Linked DNA regions of Oryctolagus cuniculus. The protein of the gene in region 7 interacts with the protein of the main gene of each other region in a biochemical or structural test. Links are inferred from orthologs where the notes say so. Each region holds a gene or a part of one and is shown on either strand. Other genes may lie near its edges.

Evidence for each region.
Region 1: the proteins of UBE2E1 (region 7) and RNF167 form a complex in vitro, tested with the Homo sapiens proteins (3 studies listed by BioGRID). The link is inferred for Oryctolagus cuniculus from reciprocal best matches to the Homo sapiens genes UBE2E1 and RNF167.
Region 2: the proteins of UBE2E1 (region 7) and PRKN form a complex in vitro, tested with the Homo sapiens proteins (2 studies listed by BioGRID). The link is inferred for Oryctolagus cuniculus from reciprocal best matches to the Homo sapiens genes UBE2E1 and PRKN.
Region 3: the proteins of UBE2E1 (region 7) and IPO11 form a complex in vitro, tested with the Homo sapiens proteins (2 studies listed by BioGRID). The link is inferred for Oryctolagus cuniculus from reciprocal best matches to the Homo sapiens genes UBE2E1 and IPO11.
Region 4: the proteins of UBE2E1 (region 7) and TRIM32 form a complex in vitro, tested with the Homo sapiens proteins (2 studies listed by BioGRID). The link is inferred for Oryctolagus cuniculus from reciprocal best matches to the Homo sapiens genes UBE2E1 and TRIM32.
Region 5: the proteins of UBE2E1 (region 7) and UBR7 form a complex in vitro, tested with the Homo sapiens proteins (2 studies listed by BioGRID). The link is inferred for Oryctolagus cuniculus from reciprocal best matches to the Homo sapiens genes UBE2E1 and UBR7.
Region 6: the proteins of UBE2E1 (region 7) and RNF4 form a complex in vitro, tested with the Homo sapiens proteins (2 studies listed by BioGRID, with this or other methods). The link is inferred for Oryctolagus cuniculus from reciprocal best matches to the Homo sapiens genes UBE2E1 and RNF4.

What each region holds. Positions count from the first base shown.
Region 1 is NC_091448.1:51,300,652-51,304,697, reverse strand, and holds the start of RNF167 (E3 ubiquitin-protein ligase RNF167), read left to right. Parts: upstream 1-1,246; 5' UTR 1,247-1,383; intron 1,384-1,521; 5' UTR 1,522-1,939; coding exon 1,940-2,023; intron 2,024-2,107; coding exon 2,108-2,188; intron 2,189-2,989; coding exon 2,990-3,115; intron 3,116-3,225; coding exon 3,226-3,313; intron 3,314-3,496; coding exon 3,497-3,587; intron 3,588-3,747; coding exon 3,748-3,853; intron 3,854-3,976; coding exon 3,977-4,046. Other genes in the region: SLC25A11 (mitochondrial 2-oxoglutarate/malate carrier protein), read right to left, coding at 1-23, 110-262, 828-922.
Region 2 is NC_091436.1:6,277,527-6,281,026, reverse strand, and holds part of PRKN (E3 ubiquitin-protein ligase parkin), read right to left. Parts: intron 936-3,500; coding exon 772-935; intron 1-771. UniProt on the Homo sapiens protein: Functions within a multiprotein E3 ubiquitin ligase complex, catalyzing the covalent attachment of ubiquitin moieties onto substrate proteins. Substrates include SYT11 and VDAC1.
Region 3 is NC_091445.1:83,312,004-83,315,503, reverse strand, and holds part of IPO11 (importin-11), read right to left. Parts: intron 1,302-3,500; coding exon 1,109-1,301; intron 498-1,108; coding exon 345-497; intron 1-344. UniProt on the Homo sapiens protein: Functions in nuclear protein import as nuclear transport receptor. Serves as receptor for nuclear localization signals (NLS) in cargo substrates.
Region 4 is NC_091432.1:220,212,418-220,215,913, forward strand, and holds the end of TRIM32 (E3 ubiquitin-protein ligase TRIM32), read left to right. Parts: 5' UTR 1-10; coding exon 11-1,972; 3' UTR 1,973-2,996; downstream 2,997-3,496. UniProt on the Homo sapiens protein: E3 ubiquitin ligase that plays a role in various biological processes including neural stem cell differentiation, innate immunity, inflammatory resonse and autophagy.
Region 5 is NC_091451.1:38,190,981-38,194,480, forward strand, and holds part of UBR7 (putative E3 ubiquitin-protein ligase UBR7), read left to right. Parts: coding exon 1-25; intron 26-1,225; coding exon 1,226-1,321; intron 1,322-3,500. UniProt on the Homo sapiens protein: E3 ubiquitin-protein ligase which is a component of the N-end rule pathway. Recognizes and binds to proteins bearing specific N-terminal residues that are destabilizing according to the N-end rule, leading to their ubiquitination and subsequent degradation.
Region 6 is NC_091433.1:1,254,021-1,257,957, forward strand, and holds the start of RNF4 (E3 ubiquitin-protein ligase RNF4), read left to right. Parts: upstream 1-1,137; 5' UTR 1,138-1,297; intron 1,298-3,937. UniProt on the Homo sapiens protein: E3 ubiquitin-protein ligase which binds polysumoylated chains covalently attached to proteins and mediates 'Lys-6'-, 'Lys-11'-, 'Lys-48'- and 'Lys-63'-linked polyubiquitination of those substrates and their subsequent targeting to the proteasome for degradation.
Region 7 is NC_091435.1:159,786,927-159,790,384, forward strand, and holds the end of UBE2E1 (ubiquitin-conjugating enzyme E2 E1), read left to right. Parts: intron 1-1,198; coding exon 1,199-1,346; intron 1,347-2,169; coding exon 2,170-2,267; 3' UTR 2,268-2,958; downstream 2,959-3,458. UniProt on the Homo sapiens protein: Accepts ubiquitin from the E1 complex and catalyzes its covalent attachment to other proteins. Catalyzes the covalent attachment of ISG15 to other proteins. Mediates the selective degradation of short-lived and abnormal proteins.

The DNA.
Region 1 (4,046 bases), on a different chromosome or scaffold from region 7:
GGCGCAGCAGGCCAGCTGACAGCCTGGAGAGCAGAGGGGTCAGTGTGTGGGGCCAAGGCTTGCATCTGCCAAACCCACACCCTCCCCCCAACCTTGGAGGCCCCAGTACCCGGTGTAAATGCCCCTTATCCCTTCCGCCTTCAGGATGCTGGTAAGGGCATGGAAGCTGGTTTTGTACTCTTTGGTCTTGGCACCTTCCCCGCTCAGCTGCATCCGGTTCTTCACCAGGTCCAGGGGCTGCACAAAAACCGTAGCTCCCATCCTGGAGGAAGGTGGGAGCAGGGTCAAGGGCCACGTGTGCAAGATCTCCCGCTGCCTACTGCAGCCTAGCACAAGGGGTTACTAAGGTCAGGGCCTGCCTCGGATTAGGGATTAAGGAGGGCTGGTAGGCATGTGTCTGACAGTCTCTGTGTGTACCAACAGCAGCGGGTTCTGGAAAGTCCATTGTCCATTAGGGGTCATGCAATGAAACTACTCCAAGCAGATCCACGGGAGTCCATCGGTGGGCCCGGTGGGCCGGGACCGCATGCAGTGCGACCCAGGGAGCGGGCCAAGGGCGTATCCACGACCTGGGGCACTAAGTAGTCCCCTAGAGTCATGGAACCCTAAACAGCCCTGCGGAACCAAGCAACGGACTGGGGAGGTGCGGGGTGGGGGATCGTGCCAAGACCCTGCATGCAGTCAGGGGCAGCCCATCAGGAACCTCCCAACACGCTGGGGATCGCGCTGACCCTCAAGCAGGCTCAGTTCACTGAAACAGTCCCAGAGATGAACCGGGCCCGTCCGTCCCTTCCTCCTCCTTTCCCATCCCTGGGGCCTGAGCTTACCCGGCCAGGCCCCCAAACAGGAACTTGACGGACTTAGGGGAGGTACGGGGCTTCCCGTCCATCCCGCCGGCCCCGGGACTCGCCGTCGCCGCCATCGCCACTCAATGGCCCTGGCTCCGGGTCCCGAGAGCGCGCGGCCCCGCTCGCGCCCAAGGTGACACCGCGCGCGCAACAGGGCGAGGGCGCGCGCGCACGCCCCTCCGGCTCCCAGGTCCAGCACCAGCTGCAAGCCGGCGCCCGCGCAGGCGCAAAGCGCAAAGGCCGCCGGGAGTAAGGCGACCCTGAAGGAGGAGCTTAAAGGCTGCGTGCGGGAAGGGGCGTGGCTTGGTTGGAAACTGGCGTATAGGCACAGTCTTCACCGACTTGGAATCGCGGGAAACTAGACAAGCTGTTCGAGGTCTCGCGAGATCTAGTCAGTCCGGCTCCCAGAGTTAGGAGGGCTCTCGCGATATGTAGAGCAAGCTTTCGGCAGCCGTGGGGGCGGGGGAGTGGGCTGGTAAGCCTTCTCGCGAGACTTGCAGGTGCGGCGGCAGCGGCGGCCACAGGGAGCGGAGAGGTTTGTAAACAGGGAAGCCCCAGGTTCCCGGGCACTAAGGGGGAAATGATTCGCTCTTCTTCTGGGGGGCAGCCGTGCGCCCTCCGTTTCCACAGACAATCCCTCCATCTCTAATTTTTCTCTTAACCGGCCTTTCAGGACCGGAAGTCCTTCATCTTGAGCGGCCAATGCTGGAAGCGGCCTGACTCTTTGTCGGAAACCTTTTTCCCAGGGATAGGAAGACGGCCCACCTGGCCGGAAGTCCCACCTCCCGGGGCTCCCCCACCCTTCCAGAAGTTTTGCTGTCACCTGTGTTTCCTTCCGTCCCCTCTCCCCGTTTTGTCCCCAATCCAGAAAAGGGTCCATTTAGAGTCTCCGACCCAGCTCCGCTAAACGGGCTTGGGGCCTCGCTCCCCGGGTCGGGGTTCCTTCCCCGGCGCCCCCATGTAGCTGGGAAGTGGGACCTGGGGGTGGTTGGACCCCTGGGATCCTGAGGGAGCGGCGGGGAGGGCGCAGAGCCCCGCTTCTGCTTCTGCTCCCGGGCCGCGGCCTCCTCGGCCTCTCCCCGCCCGCTGCCATGCACCGCGCGGCCTTCCCGCTTCCTGTGGTTGTGGCCGCCGTGCTGTGGGGAGCAGCCCCCATCCGGGGCCTCATCCGAGCGGTGAGTCTGTGGGGCGGGTGGAGGAAGGGCGCCGGAGGGGGGCGTTGCGGGCCGGAGGGGAACGTGGACGTTTTGTGCCCCCAGACCTCGGAGCACAATGCCAGCATGGACTTTGCAGACCTGCCAGCTCTGTTTGGGGCCTCCCTGAGCCAGGAGGGACTCCAGGTGATTGGCGTTCTTTTTTTTTTTTTTTTCCCCTCCCCTCTTTGTCCAAATCCTCCATCCTGGGCGGGGTTGAGGAGCCATGCCCCGGGTCTGGCTGGGGATAGTTAGAGTCCGGTTAGGATCGAAGTGCGTGAACATGCGTGGAATCCAGAATCTAGGGGAAGAAGACAGTGCCCACTCTCCACTCTGGGCTTACCCGGAGACTGCAAAGGCGATGACTGGCGCTCAGCAGTAGGGTCCCCAGCCAGCTATTGGTCGCATGACCTTCGATATCATCTCTCTGAGCCTTTGATTACTGCGAAGTGGGGTGATCATGGAAGTTACTTCAGAGTTACCGTGATTACAATTAGATAAGTTAAATTAGTGACAATTGGATAAGCGGCGTTGCAGGACTTTATTGCCAGGGCTGCCACATAGCAGCTCTCGGTGGGCTGCAGATTTGGGTGTAGATGGGTAGTTGGGAAACTGACTGAAGGGAGGGCAGTGTGGACTGGAGCTGCGAATGTAAAACAATTTAGGAAAACGTGGCTGCGTAGAGAATGGAATTACAATCTGTGGGGAAGCTGAATCTGCGGGACTGCGTCAGTGTAGGTATGGCGTGCAGGCAGGCGACCTGGGACGGGAGAGGCAGCTGTTTGATGTGGCTGCACTTTCAGGAGGCTGAGGGAGGAGACAGACTCTGGTTTGGGTGGGGTGCCGAGACCCAGGAGTGAGAAGGAAGTGAGGACAGAGGCTGTGTGGTATGGGGGGGCCAGAACCTAGAGAGGAGAAACCTAACTGTCATCTGCCTCTCTCCCGCAGGGGTTCCTTGTGGAGGCTCACCCAGACAATGCCTGCAGCCCCATTGCCCCACCACCCCCAGCCCCGGTCAATGGGTCAGTCTTTATTGCACTGCTTCGAAGATTCGACTGCAACTTTGACCTCAAGGTTGCTGAACGTGGAGTGGGAGCTGGGAAGCTAAGGGTGAAAAAGAGTGGACCAGAAATGAAGCAAGGCAAGGCCCATGATGGCTCCCTACCCCTGCCTTGTTTCGCTAGGTCCTGAATGCACAGAAGGCCGGGTACGGGGCAGCCGTGGTGCACAACGTGAATTCCAACGAACTTCTGAACATGGTGTGGAACAGTGGTAAGTGGGTGGCTCTGCGAGGCGGGGTTTGTCGGAGAGCTGACAGAGCTGGTGGGAGGGCTGACGGCTCAGGCCAAAGCAGCCAGTATTTTGGGTGGGAGGGGACAGACGCGTCAGCCGGCAGGGCTCCCCGAGGGCCTGAGAAGTGGAGGGTGAGCCCCCCCAACAGCGTGCTCCTTGCAGAGGAAATCCAGCAGCAGATCTGGATCCCGTCAGTGTTCATCGGGGAGAGGAGCTCCGAGTACCTGCGCGCCCTCTTTGTCTATGAGAAGGGGTAGGACACGCGCCTCCCTCCCTCTCCTCCTGGCCCCCAGCACTCAGCTCAGGTCACTCCTGCCCCGCCCCGCCCCGTGGCCGCAGCACCAGTTACTCTGTCCTGTGTGCTTTGTCCTCCGGCCTTTCTTGCCCCTGTGACACTGTTGTCCCTTCCCTAGGGCTCGGGTGCTTCTGGTTCCAGACAACAGCTTCCCTCTGGGCTATTACCTCATCCCGTTCACCGGGATTGTGGGACTGCTGGTTTTGGCCATGGGAGCGGTGATGGTGAGTAGCTCAGGGGACATGATAGGAAGAGCTGGACTTAGGAACCCAGATTGGAACTGGAGGCAGAGTTCACACTTGTCCGGTTTTCTTCTGAGTCTGATCCGTCCACCTCCCTTCCCCCAGATAGTTCGTTGTATCCAGCACCGGAAACGGCTCCAGCGAAATCGACTCACCAAAGAGCAGCTGAGACAGA
Region 2 (3,500 bases), on a different chromosome or scaffold from region 7:
CCTTTAGCATGCAGATTTTACTGGCCTGCTTCCCCAGCAAGCTACTGGCTGTCCTACTAGGTGACGGCACTGTCATAAACCCCCAATTCCCTCAAAAATCACCACTGAGCTGGGATGCCCTGGGAGCAGAGGACACGCAAGGCTCACTCTGCAGTCGCCAGAGGTCTGTTTGAGAGAAAATTTGACAGAACTTTAGGAAAACTGCATGCAAAGCAGCCTTCTGCTGTGCCCAGGCCTTCTCCTTTCCCCACCAGACTCTGGAACTGGTCAAGCGATTCTCAGGAGCTGACTATGGGTCTGAGAGGCACCTGCTCCAGTACACGCGGCGGCAACCCCAAGCGTCCTCCAGGGGTCACACTCGGGTTACGAATCCACACAGCGCAGTGACTGAGCAGCCTGATTGGGCACAATTTATTCGATTCCTTCTTCATTAAGATTCAAACGGAATAAGTAAGGTAGAAATTGAACAGACACAGAAATTGTGCCTTGCTGCTCCTGTAGTCAGTAAACATTTATTCACGGTGCCCAGCTCGCGGGCCGTGCGCTCTCTCCCCCTCACTTACAGCGGTGCTTCCAATCCTTACTGCTTGCCGTTTTAATGCATAATTAAGAAGGTCAGAATTAATGAAGCATTGTGGAGTAAAGTTCAAGGAATCCCCAGGCACTATTTATTCTATTAGATCTCGGGCATGAATGTCAGATTGGCAGCAGAAGCGGCATTGGCAATCGGGCTAGTGGTGTCCTGGGAGCAATCCGCCCGGGGAGACTCACCTGCACTGTTGACTCATCCCCAAGCTCCTTCCCTGCGAAGATCACACGCAACTGGTCAGCTGGAACCCCCTGTCGCTTAGCAACCGCCTCCTTGAGCTGGGAGATGCTGGTGTCAGAATCGACCTCCACTGGGAAACCGTGGCTGGAGTTGAACCTGACGAACACTGAACCACAGAAATGGGAAGAGAAAAGAAAGGCAGTGAGCCTGACTTGAAGCCCTCAAATCGCAGTGACAGCATTTCTGAACTGACTTACCCTCACCTGCCCTTCAACGAATGGCACACATTTTCTTTCACTTAAAACAAAAAAATAATAATGCTACTAATGCTATCTGGAGCAATAGTTTGAGGAAAAATGGAGTTTCCCAGTAGGATTTCCCTTTCATATATTAGTCAGTGACCCGCAAACCAAAATTGCACACTCCCTTTGACATCTATTCTGGGAAAGAGAGGGAGTCAAGCAGAACCCTTGCTTGATTGGAATTGTAAGATTCCCAGGAGTTCGTATAGGAGATTCAGCTCTGACAGCCTGTACAAACTCGCCCGCCATCCATAGGGCCCCTCCTAACAAAAAGAAAAGGCAGTATGCCAGCAGCACTCAAGGAGAAATGGAAAAGGTCCAGGCCACTTCACAGACCACAGTGAAGACCCTCTCGGTGCCGCAGCTGCTGCACAAAACGCTCCACTGGGGCTATGGACACAATCATTCTCCTTTTCTTTTGAAGCGTCTGACAGCACTGCTCTTTCTGCAGCCACTCTTCCCCACCGGGACCACACAGTCTTTTGCCTGCTGTCTTCTCACTTCAGTGGCCACCCCCTTTCAATGCCTCTCAAGCCAGAACTCTCCTTTCCACAACTTCGTGCACCGCTCTAAGTCAGCCTCTCATCAAATCTTTGCTAGATTCTTGCAGTAGCATCCAAACTGGAGTCTTTTTTTTTTAAAAAGATTTTATTTATTTTATTTGAGAGTTAGAGTTGCAGACAGATGGAGAGACAGAGAGAAAGGTCTTCCTTCCGTTGGTTCACCCCCCAAATGGCCGCTACGGCCGGCGCTACACCGATCTGAAGCCTGGAGCCAGGTGCTTCTTCCTGGTCTCCCATGTGCGTGTAGGGACCCAAGCACTTGGGCCATCTTCTACTGCTTTCCCAGGCCACAGCAGAGAGCTGGACTGGAAGAGGGGCAGCCGAGACTAGAACCAGTGCCCATATGGGATGCCGGCGCCACAGCGGAGGATTAACCTACTGTGCCACAGCCCCGGCCCCCAAACGGGAGTCTTGATCCATTCTTCTTCACTTCTGAAAGCCCCCGCACCATGCTACAAGAAGACTTATCAATCCAGAGTTCTGACCATGTCACCTTCTGCTATCAGATCCAGCAAAAAATTGATTTTGCAGATATTAATCCATTTTTTGTTGATATAAAAAAAGACACTTGAAGTTTTTCTTCTCAAGAAAAGAGGTTTATTCAGCTCCACAGTTTGGGAGGCTGCATGTTCAAAATTAGGCAGCTACATCGGTTTGGCCTCTCCGAGGTCCCCGTTGGCTGTCTCACAACATTGTGGACAAGTAGGAAGGAAATGGCTGCACACAAAAGAGGCCAAGCCCAAAAAGAGACCTCATTTTATGGCAACCCACTCTTGTGAGAACTGAGGTTCCACAAGAACTAAGAACTACATGAATCCCTTCCGAGTGTGATGCCTCCAATGGCCTAATTGCCTCCTAACTGGGAACCAAGCCTCCCACACACAGACCAGAGCCTTGGGGACACATTCAGCCAGAGCAGGTCTCCAGTGACATTTATTATGTGAGTCTTACAACACTTGACAGGTTCCAGGTAGAAGCAACATAGCACAGAGGTTCAAATCCATCTATATGCTCCTTTGTGGATTTTGTAGGTTTTGTAGCCTGAATATAAACATACTAACCCTCACTCTTTGAATCTCAGCTCTCTAATATTCTTTTATTTTCTTTAAAATTTATTTTATTTGAAAGGCAGAGTGACAGAGAGAAAAGGAAAGACAGAGAGAGAAACAGATCTTCTATCTACTGGTTTACTCCACATATGGCTGCAATGACAGGTGTTGGGCCAGACCAGAGCTTTCAGGATTAAGCACTGGGGCTACCTTCCACTGATTTCACAGGAGCATTAGCAGGAAGCTGCATATGAAGTGGAGCAGCTGGCACTTGAACCAGCACTCATATAGGATGCTGGTGTTGTAGGCAATGGCTTAACCTGCTGCACCACAACATGGGGCCCCAACTCTAATCTTGAACATATGAACAAACCATGGGGAATGTTATGTGACACATTAAATAAAATTTTGCAGTATTTCCCTAGTAACTTCTGGTAACTTTCCAAATAGTAAATATTTGCATGTGTCTCAGTTATTTTGGGTGTACATTTCATCTTCTTTAAAAGATGATAAACTCAATGCCAGGTAATTTTACTATTATTTCTCTTTTAAATATGGCATAATTGCCAACTTGCTCTCAATTAAAATGAGATGACCCACTTAATAATGATTATAATAAAATAATAATTACAATGCCAATAATCATCAGGTACTTACAATGTGCCCGGTGTTATACCTTAGATCTGGTCAGGTCACCATTATTATCCTGATTTAATAGAATAGTAAATGAGGGCCCAGAGAATTATAATCACCTTCCTAAGGACATCAACAACTTTTTTTAATCAGAATTCACATTCAGTTCAATCTAACTCTAATG
Region 3 (3,500 bases), on a different chromosome or scaffold from region 7:
TATGTCAGGATGCCTGGGTTTGATTACTGGTTCCAATTCCCTACTCCGGCTTCCTGCTAATACAGACCCGAGAGACACAGATCTTAGCTGAAAAAAATGAATTCATCTCACTCACACAGGGGAACTGGTTCATTCCTGGCTATCAGCTTTGGCCCTGGCCCAACCCTGGTGATTATGGGCACTTGGGGAGTGAACCAACAAATGGAAACTTTCTTCTCTGATTCTCAAATAACAAAAACGCAAAAAAAAATTATACTACAATACAATGTTATCATTCCCATCATTCAAATAAATATCTACTTATAGAAAGGGAGAAAAGCCATGCCAAAAAAATTAATCCTTACTAAAGCCTTCTGGGTCTTCTTCCCACATTGTCAGTTCTTCTTCAGTTAACAGAAAATAGTGAGAGACTAATCTTCGACAGATCTCTGTCAAAGTGGGATATGTGAAGAATGCCATCTTAATCTTATGGGCTTCAAGAGTTTCAGGGCTGCTATCTAGAAAAATAAAACTTCCAAGTTAATTGTACAAGGCAACATTCAACTAACTTAGATAATGACACTTAAATAAATAAAAATAGACTCTCAGGGTAAAAGATATACTTGTGTATAGTTTTTCAGTTTTACAACACACATATTAGACAGTCTTAACTTTATTTAGAACACACATCAATGCTATTTCTGCCTTACTGTTACAGCTTATAAAGTTCTGTGCTGCATTATCACAACATAGAGAAGCAACTACTCTTCTCTCCCCTAGATTTCCTCATTCATCATGTTACACATGCATATGAATGAACCCCAAATAACATAAGAAACAAACTTGTTGCAAGCAATCTTATTTAAAGTAAGAGAAAGCTTTTAGTTGTTCAAACAAATAGCTGATAACATAAATTTCAGTGGTTCTTAAACCTATGAAGTTTAACTGCTGCAAAAAAAAATAGTTTACTAAATGTACTGCATGGTTTTTTTGGGGGGAAGCTGGTATTCACTAATTAAAAATGGCATTCCTTATCAATAAATGAGTTTCCAAAAAAATTATCAAGAGTGCAATTATACTTAGAGTAAAATAAAGAAAAAATATTTTTAAACTACCAGTAAAGTATTACCTTCAAAATTTTTAGATGGCTTATAAGCATAATTTTTGACAATCATCTTGATAAGATTCATGCATTGGACTATGAATCGCTCAAATGTAACACCTTCACCAACGTCGGTAAAAACATAGCTTACAGAAAATTCCAGTGATCTCTGAATTAGAGGAGTAAATGAAAAGGGATGCTGATCCAAGAAGTCCAGAAGCTATAAAGAAAGAATTCAAAATGCATTTTTCCCAAATTCATACTAGAATATAATCACTCCAATTGCAATTCTTCTAACACACATTTAGTAAGTTTTGAACCCTGAAGTGGAGTCTGTATTTGAGGTTTTACATTTATGATGCCCCTTCTTGGGATACATGATTTATGATGGATTACATCAGATTCTAACCCATAAAAAGAATTTGCTATTATTTGCAGTTCAGGCATCAAAACAGACCCACTTCATATTTAACATAAGAGTAAGTAAATATGTTAAAAACAGTTTAAGCATATTAAGTATAAGCCTTTAAAAGTCATAAAGGAAAAGAACTGAAAAATAACCCTGTTTTTTCTGCATAAAACTGTACTTTGATTTATCAAATAGTTGATGATGGAATTTTTTTGTTAATAAATATAAAAGGAATAACAGAATAGAACACCATCATTTTACAACCTCTAATCAAATAAAGGACCGAGGCAATGATGAAAAACGGCCACTGAAATCATGAAGGGAAAGGCTGTTGAGGAATTCTGATAGTTTACTCATCATCAGTCATAGCCACACAAAGAAAGACAAGCAGATAGTATGTGCTTTGTACTATGAGGCAATATGAAATACAAAGCACCATCTAGAAGGTATTCTTGTTAATCCTACCCTATCCCACAAAGCAAAAGACGGAGTGAGATTAAATCTCTACATCTAACTGCAAAGTCACAAAAATATGGAAGGAGGAGTGCAGACACAAAGGAACATATTAAATGACACACAGGGATAGAAGCTGACTAGTGCAAAATACAGAAAATTCTATTGGCGCTCTTCATCAACATTAACAATAGAAAATGACACTATTTGAATCCTACTTCCTATAAAACAATAAAATTTTTGAAAAATCAGAGATATTTAATAACTGACAATCAAATTAGGAAATTCATTATTGTGAAACACAATGATTTTGATAAGATTTTTTTTTAGTTTATTTTTATTTATTTTAAACACAGATCGACAGAGACAGAGAAATCTTTCACCTGCTGGTTCACTACCCTAAATGCCTGTAATAACTACACAGGGCTGGGTCAGGCTGAAGCCAAGAATCAGTAAGTACATCCAGGTCTCCCACATGAGCAGCAGGGACCCAACTATTTGAACTATCATCACATTTTCTTTTGGGGGAAGAAAAAAAAAAAAAAACCCTCAGGTGTGTGTTTGGCACAGCAATTAAGATCTTGATGTTCCTAACCTATATCATAGTGCATGAGAGTCAGCTTCCTGGTAAGGTACATCACAGGAGGCAGCAGATGATTGTTCAAGTACTTGGCTCCCTGCCACCTACAGGAGAGACCTGGACTGAGTTTCTGGCCCCTGGCTTCAGCCCAGCCCAGTCATGGTGGTTGTGGGAACTGGGGAATGAGCCAGGGGACAGAAGATCTCTCCGTATCTGCCTCTGTCTCTCAAATATGTTTCTTTAAAGATTTCATTGCTTAGCAACACATACTCAAATATTTTGCAGATAATACTAAATGAAATCTGAAGTTTGCTTACAGGGGTGGGGAACCTTTTGTCTGACAAGGACCATTTGGATATTTATAACATTATTCATGAGCCATACAAAATTATCAACTTAAAAATTAGCCTGCTTGAGGCTGGTGTTGTGGCATACTAAGTGAAGTCTCTGCCTGCAGTGCCTACATCCCATATGGGCGTCAGTTTGGGTCCCAGCTGCTCCACTTCCAATCCAGCTCCCTGCTGGTGCACCTGGGAAAAGAAGATGGTCCAGGTCCTTGGGCCCCTGCACTCTCAGTGAGACCGGGAAGAGGCTCCTGAATTCAGTACAGCCCAGCTCCGGCCCGTTGCAGCCACTTGGGGAGTGAACCAGCGGATGGAAGACATCCCTCTTTCTTCTTTCCTTCTGCCTCTCTGTACCTCTGCTTTTCAAATAAGTAAATAAATCTTTAAAAAAAAAAAAAATTAGCCTGTTCGCTGTGACACCGTAGGTTAGTGCCAGCAGCCCATATCGGTCCCTGTTCATGTCCCGGATGCTCCTGTTCTGATCTAGCTCTCTGCTATGGCCTGGGAAAGCAGCAGAAGGTGGCCCAAGTGCTTGGACCCCTGCACCCACATAGGAGACCATGAAGAAGCTCCTGGCTCCTGGCTTTGGATCAGCCCAGCTCTGGCCATTTTGGCCATTGGGCAAGTGAACCA
Region 4 (3,496 bases), on a different chromosome or scaffold from region 7:
AGGAAGAGTGATGGCCGCAGCAGCAGCGTCTCACTTGAACCTGGATGCTCTCCGGGAAGTGCTGGAATGCCCCATTTGTATGGAGTCCTTCACGGAAGAGCAGCTGCGACCTAAGCTCCTGCACTGTGGTCATACCATCTGCCGCCAGTGCCTGGAGAAGCTCCTGGCCAGTAGCATCAATGGTGTCCGCTGTCCCTTTTGCAGCAAGATTACCCGCATAACCAGCCTGACCCAGCTCACAGACAACCTGACTGTGCTGAAGATCATCGACACAGCTGGACTCAGTGAGGCTGTAGGGCTGCTTATGTGCCGCGCTTGTGGGCGGCGGCTGCCCCGGCAGTTCTGCCGGAGCTGTGGCTTGGTGTTGTGTGAGCCCTGCCGGGAAGCAGACCACCAACCTCCTGGCCACAGTACACTTCCTGTCAAAGAGGCAGCTGAGGAGCGGCGTCGAGACTTTGGAGAGAAGTTAACCCGTCTGAGGGAGCTCATGGAAGAGCTGCAGCGGCGGAAAGTAGCCTTAGAAGGCGTGTCCAAGGACCTTCAAGCAAGATACAAAGCAGTTCTTCAGGAGTACGGGCATGAGGAGCGCAGGGTCCAGGATGAGCTGGCCCGTTCTCGGAAGTTTTTCACAGGCTCTTTGGCTGAAGTTGAGAAGTCCAATACTCAGGTTGTTGAGGAACAGAGTTACCTGCTTAACATTGCAGAGGTCCAGGCGGTGTCTCGCTGTGACTACTTCCTGGCCAAGATCAAGCAGGCAGATGTGGCCCTCCTGGAGGAGACAGCTGATGAGGAAGAGCCAGAGCTCACTGCCAGCTTGCCCCGGGAGCTCACCCTACAAGATGTGGAGCTCCTTAAGGTAGGTCATGTCGGCCCCCTCCAAATTGGGCAGGCAGTTAAAAAGCCCCGAACAGTTAACATGGAAGATTCCTGGGCCATGGAGGCTGCAGCTTCTGCTGCCTCTACTTCTGTTACATTTAGAGAGATGGACATGAGCCCTGAGGAAGTAGCTGCCAGCCCTAGGGCCTCACCTGCTAAACACCGAGGTCCTGAGGCCACTTCCAATATCCAGCAGTGCCTATTTCTCAAGAAGATGGGGGCCAAAGGCAGCACTCCAGGCATGTTCAATCTTCCAGTCAGTCTGTATGTGACCAGTCAAGGGGAGGTGCTGGTTGCTGACCGTGGTAACTACCGCATACAAGTCTTTACTCGCAAAGGATTTTTGAAGGAGATCCGCCGCAGCCCCAGTGGCATTGATGGCTTTGTGCTAAGCTTCCTGGGGGCTGATTTGCCCAATCTCACTCCTCTCTCAGTGGCCATGAACTGCCATGGGCTGATTGGTGTGACTGACAGCTATGACAACTCCCTCAAGGTATATACCTTGGATGGCCACTGCGTGGCCTGTCATAGAAGCCAGCTGAGCAAACCATGGGGTATCACAGCCCTGCCATCTGGTCAGTTTGTGGTAACTGATGTAGAAGGGGGAAAGCTTTGGTGTTTCACTGTTGACCGAGGAGCAGGGGTGGTCAAATACAGCTGCCTCTGCAGTGCTGTGCGGCCCAAGTTTGTCACCTGTGATGCTGAAGGCACCGTCTACTTCACCCAGGGCTTAGGCCTCAATCTGGAGAATCGGCAGAATGAGCACCACCTGGAGGGTGGCTTCTCCATTGGCTCTGTGGGTCCTGATGGGCAGCTGGGTCGCCAGATCAGCCACTTCTTCTCAGAGAATGAGGACTTCCGCTGCATTGCTGGCATGTGTGTGGATGCTCGTGGTGACCTCATCGTGGCTGACAGTAGTCGCAAGGAAATCCTCCATTTTCCTAAGGGTGGGGGCTTTAGTGTCCTGATTCGAGAGGGACTCACCTGTCCTGTGGGCATTGCCCTCACTCCTAAGGGACAGCTGCTAGTCTTGGATTGTTGGGATCATTGTATCAAGATCTACAGCTATCATCTGAGAAGATATTCCACCCCCTAGGGTATAAGAAATACCAATTTCTTCTGCTTCCCAGCCAACTTCCCTTCCCTCAGACCTTGGTTGGTGGCACCATAAAGTAGACTTGGCCTAGGTCTTGTCTCCAACTGGGTAGTCCTAGAATTTTAGTATTTTAGTGTTTTTTATTTGTTAAGCCTCCTTCCCTTCCATTCCACTCCTGCCTAAATTTAAAGCTTTGATAAATGCATTGTCCCAAATAGCACACATGATGGTGTTAGCTGAAGTTTAATTAGAAATTAGGCACTTCCAAGGCTTCAGTAGAAACACCCACTCTAACTTCTTGTCTCTGTGTTTGAAATGTGCCCTTGTATTGAAACCCTGTTGATTTTTCTCCTTTTGGCTTCGATGTCCCTGGTCCATTGTTTCTTTCCTATAATAATGTGCTTTATCCGTGACACTTTGTCTTCAACTCTGGTTGCATTCAGTGTGCATGCTTCAGTGGAATCTGCTCTGCCTTTCAGTGATATTTCAGAAATCATATCCCTGTAGCATGATACTTCAGGTCAGATCACCTTTAGTGTGAAAGCTCATTCATTTAGTATCACCAAGGGATATAATACCATACCTCTTGGCTGAGGACTGTGCCATCTTGGATTGGTTTCTTATTGCAGGTGTAACAAAAAAATGGATTAACCCTAGTTGGTTACTGTTGAAACTTCAGCATGGACATTTCTTGCCTTCTAAAGGATCATATGGATTGGAAAAAAGCCAAGACATAGAAAGATGGCAATAAACAAATATAAATACTGATACAGCCAACAAACTTGTATAGTTTCTAGGGCACATCATTTTTCATCTACCTCTCTCCAGTGACCTGTGTTAAGACTGTCTGCAGAATTGTAAAGCACATTGGAGAGGTGGACACATCTCATTTTCATTACTAAAACAATAGAAATGTTTGGTGGTTATTCTGTATTTTCCTCAAGTGACTGCATACTATTTGATTTAAGTATTGATTTCTGTTCCTCTATCAAGCATTAAATCATTGATAACTGTTTCTTCAAAAGTGGTGTTCATGTCTTTTCATTAAATATGGGATATGGGAGGTGAGGAGAGGGATAACTTGAATGATGCCATTTTATTCCTTCTCTGACACTCCATTGTTTCACAGCATAAGGATCCACCCAGGTCCATATTCAATTCAAAGTACCATTATGTACAAATAATCCAGATGTCTCTCCTACATATGTACAGAATCAACCCCCAAAGTTTAGAGTCACCAAAACCTGTTCTAGATTGAGCTGCCATCATGTTTTATTCTTATAATTACAGGTCATAAAAGGAAAGTGCTTTTAAGAATACCAGAAGTGGGGACCGGCGCCGCGGCTCACTAGGCTAATCCTCCGCCTTGCGACGCCAGCACACCGGGTTCTAGTCCCGGTCGGGGCACCGGATTCTGTCCCGGTTGCCCCTCTTCCAGGCCAGCTCTCTGCTGTGGCCAGGGAGTGCAGTGGAGAATGGCCCAAGTGCTTGGGCCCTGCACCCCATGGGAGACCAGGAGAAGTA
Region 5 (3,500 bases), on a different chromosome or scaffold from region 7:
AAATTTGGAATGCAAATTATTTCCTGTAAGTTAAGCATTGTAACTATAAAGGCATTTAAAGAAGTTGATGTTTATAATTGCCAAATGTTTTCCAGACGGGGAGTTTTTCCTTTTTATTCCTTGCAAAAGTATTTTTCATTTCTTATTTTGTTGGGAAAACTACACAGCATGTTCAGAGTCTACAATATGGATTATCATTAACATGAAAAGTTTTGAGGGAAAATGTTTTTTAAATTGAGTCAGGTCTTTCGAAGTTGATTGTGCTTATGCTCTGAGATTTTATGTTAGTTATACATTCTTATTTGAAAGGCAGCGGGGAGACATACACAGGCAGCAATATACCAGCTGCTGGTTCACTCTCCTAACGCTGGCAACAGCTGGTGCTGGGCCATGCCAAAGCCGGGAGACTGGAACTCAGACCAGGCCTCCTCCCACGTGGGTGATGGAATCCAGTACTTGAGGCAGCACCACTGTCACGGGTGTTCATTAGCAGGAAGCTGGAATTGGAGGTCGAGCTGAAATCCTAACCCAGGCACTCCACTGTGGGATGCAGGCTTTCCAAGTGCCATCCTCACTGTGCCAAAGACCCTCTGTGCCTTTGTGTGCTCAGTCTGTGTGTGTGTGTGTGTGTGTGTGTGATGCTTTTAAAACAAAGGATCTGACCTTAAAAACCTGAATAAATAAAGCTTTGTACTAATGAATGTGGGCTAGATGCACAAAGAACTTTTAAAATGTTTTTTGGCTAATAGAAGTTATGATTACCAAGAATGCTACGCTGTTCAGTCATCATTGCGGAAATTGTCATGCTTTTCTCCTCCTTTGATGCTAGTTTTGGACAATTTCTTTGCCTCTTTTAAGCCTCCTAGTAAGCTAGGGGCCTTGGCTATCACAGCTGAGCATAAAGAAGAACGCAGAAATTCTAGGCGATTGAAAAATTAATGTTCATAATTAACTCTTGTCTCTGCTTTATTTAATTCTGTATTGAGTTTGCCACAGTTGGTACAGAAAAAGGTGCAAAAAGAGAGTTTAATTTTTTTCCTTGAGTCTTGGAAAAAGTATCCTTTTAGTAAAAGTGACTTTTTTCTCTTTATACTTTGAAAGTTGAAGAACCACCTTATGAGGTAAATTTCATGCAGCAATTTGTTGAATATGTAAATTTTATGGTACATGAAGCTGTAGTTGAAAATTTAAAATATTGTATGTTGAAATTAGTATTATCTTTTAGGACAAAGCAAAGGTAAATTCTGGCAATAAGTACAATGACAACTTTTTTGGACTATACTGCATTTGTAAGAGACCTTATCCCGACCCTGAAGATGAGGTAAGAGGATTGGAAATTAAAACCTGGACCTGTTACCTTAGCCTTGACTTCTCAGCCTCTTGGCACCCCTGGTCCTCTGCAGCATTTCAGGAGGAGTTTTGGGAATGTGGGAGGATTCCAGATGTATCTCTCAGGAATATGGGTTGGATCTATAACTGGTACAGAGCTCAACTCTCGTTTCTTTGATCATAAAAATGAAATATTGGAGTGAGTTTTCCCAGGACCAAAATGCCTCTTCTCAGCAACGTTCCTGCCTGCCTGCTCCATCCCCCAAACACTTTCTAAGAGACCTTCAGCTGTTTGCCTCTTTGGAAGGAAAGAAATGGAGTGTACAAAGTGGATCCTTTGAGCAATTTCAATTCGAAGAATATACAAAATTTAGAATGGATTACTTGGTCCTGCACCTCTTAACTCCCAGGCATAACCACTGTTAACACTTTTTGGTGTATAATTTTTTAGGTCTTTTTCTGTGCACTTAAAAGTGATTGAATGAATGTATATTTATTTCAATGTGTAGAGTTTTTTTTTTTCTTGAAGATGTATTTATTTAAAAGGCAGAGTTACAGAGAGGCAGAGAGAGTCTTCCATCCACTGGTTTACTCCCCAAATGGCTGCAGTGGCCGGAGCTGATCTGAAGCCAGGAGGCAGGAGCTTCTTCCTGTTCACCCACCTGTGTGCAAGGGTCTTTCACTGCTTTCCCAGGCCACAGCAGAGAGCTGAATCGGAAGTGGAGCAGCTGGGACTTAAACCAGTGCTCATATGGGATGCTGGCGCCACAGGTGGAGGCTTAGCCCACTACACCACAGTGCCGGTCCCATGGTTTCCTTTTGTAACCAAAGTGAAAATTCCATGTATTCACTCCTGCGATTGGCTTTTCTCAATCAATGTATCATAGACTTCCTTCCATACCAACACATATCTACTTGGTTTTATTGTTGGCAGAATATCCTGCAATTGGACATGCCGTGAGTTAACTAACCTAGCTCTTGGTCTGTAGCAAAATAGCATGGTGTGATTGATTTTTCACCTCAGTGAACACTCTTCTGCATTAATGTGCTGAACACTCCCCTGCAGGTATCAGGTAGTGTGGCTGCTGGTGGTCATAGGACATTGGCTTTTAAAATTGAGACTGTGTCTGCCGAAAGGATTCAGCCACCAACGGTATTGATTTCCCCCCAGTACTCCAGTTAACTGTGCTCATTACCAGTCCCTTAAAACTTTGCCGTTCTGATAAATGAAGAAAAATACCTTTCTTTTCCCGATCATGAGTGAGATTGTGCATCTTTTCAAGAGTTTTTTGGATGTTTGTAGTAACCTTCTCTCTGAATTGCTCTTCATATCATCAGTCTATGCTTTGATTGGATTGGGTTTGTCTATTTACTTATTGGAGGCTTTTTACATTGCGAGAAATTAACTTTATGTTTTCTTCCTTGCTTCCTAATTGTCTTGCAACTATAATTATTAAACCAAGTGGCATAGAGGGACAAATTGAAGATATCTTTTTGAGTTATCAAAAATAAAACTTTAAAACTGGATATTTTAAATGATAGGGTAAAGTTTTCCTTTTTTTTTTTTTTTTTAAGATTTATTTATTTGAAGGGCAGAATGGCAGAGAGAGGGGGATAGACAGAAAGAGACCTTTCATATGCTAGTTCACTCCTCAAGTGGCCACACCTCCAGGACTGGGCTAGGCTGAAGCCAGGAGCCAGGAGTTCCAGCTGACTTTCCCACTTGGGTGGCAGGGACCCAAGCACCTGGGCCATTTTCTGCTGCTTTCCCAGGGACATTAGCAGGAAATTGGATTGGGAGTGGAGCAGCCAGGGCTCAAACCAACATTCTGATTCAGGATACCAGTGTTGCAAGGGGTGGCTTAATCTGGTACACCTCAATGCTGGTGCTTCAAGTGTTACTTCCAAAAGTGTTGTAAAAAGACAAAATAGAAGATGTTGAATAAATTGACAAAAGCAGAGAAAACAATAAAACAGTATTTTTAAATATATGTGTGTGGTGGGCATATTTTCCTTTAAAAAATTAGGAAGAACAACAAGGCAGTGTTATATAAAATAGAAATACCCTACTTATCTCTAAGGTTTTATGAGATTCAGATATTAGGTATCTGCTTCGAAAGAGCCTTGATAACTGCTTGCGAAGTGCTGTCTCAGTGTAACCCTTTGTGACA
Region 6 (3,937 bases), on a different chromosome or scaffold from region 7:
GCCTGTGGGTACTGACCTAACCTCCCACCTGCCTGTCCACCCCTCATAGTAGTTCCTGGAAAGAAAATCCCTCAAGGCCAGACCTAGGGTCCAGATGCTATCTGCAGGGGAGATAAGTGCCCACTGCCTCAACTCAGAGCGAAGTTTAGGAAGGAAGAGCCGGGGCTGGGACTCAGGGGTCCAGCCAGCCTCAGCATCACAGGCCCGGCTCCAGCGCAGGGCCTGGAGCTCCGCGGGGCTCACACCTGCCAGGGCGGTGTGGGGATCACAGGTGAGGGCAGGCTGAGACCCGGGGGCTCAGATGCCCGCAGGAGGCATCCAGGGCTCCGCCCGCGCCCGGGGCTGGGAGGACACCTTTCTCCAGGCCGGTCCTGGGGTGCCTTCCCTGCGGGCCCTCGCCCACCCCTCCTGCCCACCCGGCCCCTGACACCCTGACTCCCCTCCCCAGGCTGCGGGACACCCAGCTCCCTGCTTCCTGCCCAACTCTCTGCTTCTTCCGCCCGGTACTCCGGCTCTTGGCCCCAAGCTCGCTTCCTCTGGACAGCCCTCCCAGACAAGCCGGTTTAGGGCCCCTCTGGGCTCGCCAGTGGGGACTGGGCCCGGTCCTCGCGGGGACGGTGACCGCCCCGCCCCGTCCAGGGCCTGGTACCAGGCGGCGCTGATCCAGGCCCGGCTTCCAGCTCGTGCCCCGGGAATATTCCTCTCCAAGGTCTCGTTAACAGGCAAGGAAACAGGCCCGGGGAGCTGGGCGCAACGTCTGGTCTGGACCAACGTCCAGCTTGACGTCGCCGGCCGGCCTCGTAAGTTAGCGCCATGGTGGCTGCTGTGCGGGGTGGCAGCGCAGGACCGGGACCGTTCGGAGCCCCCTCGGCTCCGGAGAGCGGGTCACCGGGGGTCGGCGGGCAGCTGCCGCGGGCCAAGCGCTCGGACCACCCTCAGACTACAACTCCCGACAGGCCTTGCAGGCGGCGCGGCGCGGACAAGCTCTCTCGCGGGAATGCGGGGGCTGAGGCGCGCGAGCGTGGGCGGGGCCGGAAGCGACGCGGTTCAAAGTGGTAATGGACGTCTTCCTTATCCAATAGAATTGGAAACAGGGCTCCTTCCCCGGCAGCCGCGGGCGAAGGGGAGGCGGCGGCCACTGGGGACGCGCGGGGGGCGGGGCCTGGGCCTCGGGAGCGGAAGTGGACTGCTGTGGAGGCGGCGGCGCCTGGCTCGGGGGCTTCTCCTCAGCGGCTTAGAGGTGCTTCCTCGCTCCAGGACAGTGGCGGCGGTGCCTCCCGGACCGGAGCAGCTCCGAGTAAGGCCCGCTCCTCGGGGAGGGAGCGGCGGCCGGGCCCAGCAGACGCCGCGTTCGCGCGGCCTGTCCAGGCCTCGGCGTCCGCGCCTCCGGCGGCCGCCCAGCGCGGCGCGACCCGCTGCGGGCCCCGTGGCCGGCCGGGCCTGCCGGGACTTCGGGCCGCCTCTGCCCACCCGCCCCGCCGCCTGCGCCGGCGTCCCGAGCCTCGCTGGGCGCGGGAGAGGAGGTCTAGGGGGCTCCCCCGGCGCGGCCGCACGACCGGGCTCGGAACTCCGAGAGGGAAACTGAGGCTCGGGCCGGGGCGCCCAAGGTCACGGGAGAGGCGCCCGGGCCTGCCGGCGGCGGGGAGGCAGTGAAGGCTCGTGTCCTCCTTTGTGCTGGCGCCGCCGCCCGCCGTCGGGGGCCCGCGAGCTCGCCGGAACGCCTGGCCGCGTGGCGGGCGCGCTGCTCGGCTCGGCTGGGCGCGGGGCCTGGAACCGGGGAGCCCGCGCTTCCGGGTGCAGCGTGTGGCCGCCGCCCCGGAGGCCCGTGTAGGAGCCCGCGGCGGACCCCCGGGCGCCCACCAGCGTCCACCTCGGGCGGGGAGGGCCGAGCCTGGGCGAGCCGCGCCTGCGGGATGCAGCTTTTGTCTTCCTGCGGCGCCCGCGGACGCTCGGGGTCTCGGCCTGCGCAGCCGTGCCGGGGTCCTGGGGGGTGAGGCGGGCGGCCCGCGGTCGCACGGTGGAGCCGAGTTCTAGCTGCGGGACCCGGAGTGCGGGCCGTGTGGCCGTGGGAGGCGGCGGCGTTGAAGGGGATTTTTTTGCTCTGGGTCGGTTTTGCTTGTGAGTTTGGGGTCGTTGTGTTGCTTGAACTTGACCTTCCAGTCCTGACCCGGAACCTCACTAATGACGCTTAAGAGGGTCCCGACTGCTCGCCGCCATGACGTTAGGGCCGCGTATATGGGCATACTGTGTGTCTGGTTTTTATTCTGTGAACATCTGTAGAGAAAGGGAGAGACAGATCTTCATCTGTTGGTTCACTCCCCAAATGGCCGCCGTAACCAGGGCTGGGCTGGGTGGAAGCCAGGAGCTTTATCTGAGTCTCCCAAGGCGGCCCAGGGCCCAAGCACTGGGGCCATCTGCTTCCCGGGCGCATTAGCAGGGCTTGGGATTGGAAGTGCAGCAGCTGGGATTCCAGTGGCTTCCATTTGGGAGGCTGAAACTGCTACACCAGAGTGCTGGCTCCTATGGTATGTCCTTTGTGTACTGTACATATATCTGTTCTTTTTTTTTTTTAAAGATTTATTTATTCACTTGGTAGAATTACAGAGAGAGAGGAGAGGTAGAGAGATAGAGGTCTTCCATCTGCTGGTTCACTCCCCAGATGGCTACAACGGCCGGAGCTGCACTGTTCCAAAGCCAGGAGCCAGGAGCTTCTTCCGGGTCTCCCACACGGGTGCAGGGCCCAAGCACTTGGGCCATCCTCTACTGCTTTCCCAGGCCACAGCAGAGAGCTGCATGGGGAGTAGAGCAGCCAGGACTCAAACCGGTGGCCGTATGGGATGCCTGCACTGCAGGCTGCGGCTTTACCTGCTACGCTACAGCGCTGGCCCCCATGTATCTGTTCTTAATACATAAAATAAGTAGGATTTTTCACCCTCTTTCAGAAGACACACTTTAATATTCTGAGCACAGTTTTGAAGCAAACAGTAGTGGATTACAACAGTGAACAAAATAGGAATGTGGTGCCTCTCCTGGAGCTAAGGGCTGAGAGACCCAGAAAGTCCCTGACACTGAAGTACAGACTGTGCAGGAAGTGTGGCAAGAGATGGGACAGACTGGAGACACACGCAGGATCCCGAGAGATGGGACAGACTGGAGACACACGCAGGATCCAGAGAGATGAGACAGACTGGAGACACACGCAGGATCCAGAGAGATGAGACAGACTGGAGACACACGCAGGATCCAGAGAGATGAGACAGACTGGAGGCACACGCAGGATCCAGAGAGATGAGACAGACTGGAGACACACGCAGGATCCAGAGAGATGGCACAGACTGGAGACACACGCAGGATCCAGAGAGATGGCACAGACTGGAGACACACGCAGGATCCAGAGAGATGAGACAGACTGGAGACACATGCAGGATCCAGAGAGATGAGACAGACTGGAGGCACACGCAGGATCCAGAGAGATGGCACAGACTGGAGACACACGCAGGATCCAGAGAGATGGCACAGACTGGAGGCACACGCAGGATCCAGAGAGATGAGACAGACTGGAGACACGTGCAGGATCCAGAGAGATGGGACAGACTGGAGACACACGCAGGATCCAGAGAGATGGCACAGACTGGAGGCACACGCAGGATCCAGAGAGATGAGACAGACTGGAGACACATGCAGGATCCAGAGAGATGAGACAGACTGGAGGCACACGCAGGATCCAGAGAGATGGCACAGACTGGAGACACACGCAGGATCCAGAGAGATGGCACAGACTGGAGGCACACGCAGGATCCAGAGAGATGAGACAGACTGGAGACACGTGCAGGATCCAGAGAGATGGGACAGACTGGAGACACACGCAGGATCCAGAGAGATGGCACAGACTGGAGACACACGCAGGATCCAGAGAGATGGCACAGACTGGAGGCAC
Region 7 (3,458 bases):
GTTTTCTCAGGGTAACTGTTAAGCACAAAAACTCAGTGGGGGGGGGGGGCAGGCTTTGTGGCCCAGTGCATCAAGCTACCACCCGGAGTGCCCACATCCCATACACCAGTGTCACTTCTGGCTACTGTTTCTATTTTTAATATTTGTTTTATATGCAGGCTTTGTGGCCCAGTGCATCAAGCTACCACCCGGGGTGCCCACATCCCATACACCAGTGTCACTTCTGGCTACTGTTTCTATTTTTAATATTTGTTTTATATATTTGAGAGAGAGACAGAGCTCTTCCATCCACTGGTTCACTCCCCAAATGCCTGCAACCACCCAGGCTGGGCCAAAGCTGAGGTCTGGGTGGTGGACCCAGGTCTCCCATGTGTGTGGCAGAGCGCCAATGACCTGAGCCATCGCCACTGCCACCCAGGGTCCGCATTTGCAGGGAGCCGGAGCCCGGAAGTGACCCAGGCACTGCTGTCATGGAGACGAGCATCTCAACTGCTGGGCTAAAAAGCCAGCCTCTGGTCATTTTTACTTTGGTCTCCTGATTTTTATTTGTGGAAATACATGATGTGCACCAATTAAAATAACTCCTGCTTCTGTGGCTCATGCTGACTGGTCCTTGCCCACACTGGGCTTCCCACTCATGGAGACCCCTCTATAAATCCTGGGGTTCTGGTAGACAGGGTGGCTGGGGGAACTGGTGTAACGCAAATCCTGAAGAGCTTTTTGGTTGTGTAGCCACTGCCTACTAAGCATTCTATCACATGCAGACTATGTTGTACCTCAGGTTTTATGAGGTATTGAAGATTGTGTAGTACTACCAGCTAACACAAGAGGTCAGCAAACAATTAGCTATTCATGCTTCAAAATGCTAATATTTAAACAGTAACCTTGCTGAAGATGAACTCAGGAGGGTACCGAACTTTTAGCTTTTTGAAGACATTACTTTTAAAATTGACAATTCCTGACACAGGACCAATGAACATTTAAAACTATATTAACTTTCCGTTTATTAGAGAGAGATTTTCCATCTGTTGGTTTGCTTCCCAAACGTGCGAACCTGCCAGAGTGCACTCTGCCAGGCTGAGACCCCACCTGGCCTCCCGCATGGGTGGCTTGGGTGCATTCGCAGGACCAGGCACCCCAAACAGCAGTCCCACAGTGTTATTCCTAAACAGTTGCTATTGTTTGACTTTTCTTTTAGGTTACATTTCGGACAAGAATCTATCACTGTAATATTAACAGTCAAGGAGTTATTTGCTTGGACATATTGAAAGATAATTGGAGTCCAGCACTAACTATTTCTAAAGTCCTCCTTTCCATCTGCTCACTTCTTACAGACTGTAATCCTGGTAAGGTTAACAATTCTCTACCTTGTTTTATTTTTCCTCACCTGAAAAAGACAAAAATGAAATTGCTTTTCAGAGAAAGTTCTAATGGAGATGAGTTGGCAAAGGGAGCAACTTCACCATTGTCTAGTATGTTCTAGGACAAAGTATTTTAAACTGAAGAGTCTAGTCTGTCCTAACCTCACCTGGCTCACTGTGCCAGAGCTGCTTACGGAGGCAGGGCTCAATTTTGAAATGGGATTTCTTTGCTAAATACTTAGTGACTACTGAAGTGTGATTTTGTTGGGACTGCATTCCATTAAAAGTTTTCCCTGGATAAGCTAATGTAAATGTAAAGATGCTGTGTTAAGTTGCCAGAAACACACTGTTCTCAACTGCAGCCCAGGTGTTGGCTGGCAACTGGAAGTGCCACGGCCACGAAGAACTCATACAGTGCCTATCGCCACCACACACGGCCACGAAGAGCTCATACAGTGCCTATCGCCACCACACAGCCACAAAGAGTTCATACAGTGCCTATCGCCACCACACACGGCCACGAAGAGCTCACACAGTGCACATCGCCACCACACGGCTGACGTCCTTTGTAGCCTGTAGCCCTGAGCCCGCCCAACATGTTAAGAGCAAAAGCGACTTACTGGGTGGTGTTGGTTGAGAAATGGTGTTAACCAAGCAGTAAAGCCAGACCAGTACTCTGTCCCTCCTCCATGCAGTGTTTTGTAAAGTCTGGAAGGAAAAATACCCAGAACAGTAGAGTGGTGTCTGACTGTAGAGTTGAAACTGCATTTTCCTTTCTCCGGAGTAACCTACATTCTTCTTCTTGCAGCCGACCCTCTGGTGGGCAGCATCGCCACCCAGTACATGACCAACAGAGCAGAGCACGACCGGATGGCCCGACAGTGGACCAAGAGATACGCCACATAAACGGGGTTTTCACAGTGCTTACATTACTTGTCTGTCACAGAAGAGAGCTGCTTATGATTTTGAAGGGATGGGGGAGGGTGGGAGTTGGTAAAGAGTAGGGTATTTCTATAACAGATATTATTCAGTCTTATTTCCTAAGATTTTGTTGTAACTTAAGGTATCTTGCTACAGTAGACAGAATTGGTAATAGCGACTTTTAAAATTGTCATTAGTTCTGCAGTATTAGCTAAAATGTAGAAAAGAATGTACATCTTGACATTTGGGTTTGGTTGCTTGTAGTCTGTAAAACAGCTTAATTTTGTACAGGTTACATACATGGCCATTGATGTAAAGTCCCTTTATGACTACATACTTTTGTTTAAAAAAATTGGAATTTGTTTTTCTCTTCTTGCAAGAGAATATTGATATTTAACAGAGTTTTTAGAGAGACTCATCTCATATATATAAAATGGACATGTGGCTATAAGACACCATATAGGAAATGAGTAGTTGATGTATTTTATTTTATATGCCAATCTACTTTATTGTGAAAAGATTAAAAGTTTGAATCAGGACTTGTGAAACCTGTAGTGAAATACCTTAAGCTGTTACCTGTGAGGCGTGGATAGGAGTTGCTCGGTGGATTGGTTATATGTTGTGGACTACTTAAGTCCTCGTTTGTTACTGTGCTAATAAACAATATTAAAAACAACCACCTGGTGCTGCTGGGTTTATTTTGTCTTTATTGACAGATCTTTGCTCTACAACAATTAAAAATACTTAATAAATAGCACTTACCTATGTTAGAATAGATACTTTTATACAACAGTAGACTTTGAGACGTCTTAGAGAAGGTTAAATAACAGGTTTTCAGAGACGAAGTGTCCTGCATCTCTTTACAAGCATTTTCTAACCTGCAGGTGCTGTGGGAGCAAGTCCACGAGAAACGGGTTGTGTCACAAGGATAGCTAAATGGGCACCACACTGGAGGGCAGTTTGACCCCACTTGAGGCTACACCTCCCATAACCCAGCAGTTCTGCTTTTGGGTCTCCTCCAGAGAAACCCAGCCAGGGCCACACACACTGACTACAGCATTTTAAAAGAATCCACTAACACAGATCTAAGCTGCATTCTGTGGAAAAAAAGCAAACTGTAAACGATCAGTAATCACCCCAGCTAAGCAGGAGTGTGCCTCAACAGCTGAGCGATAG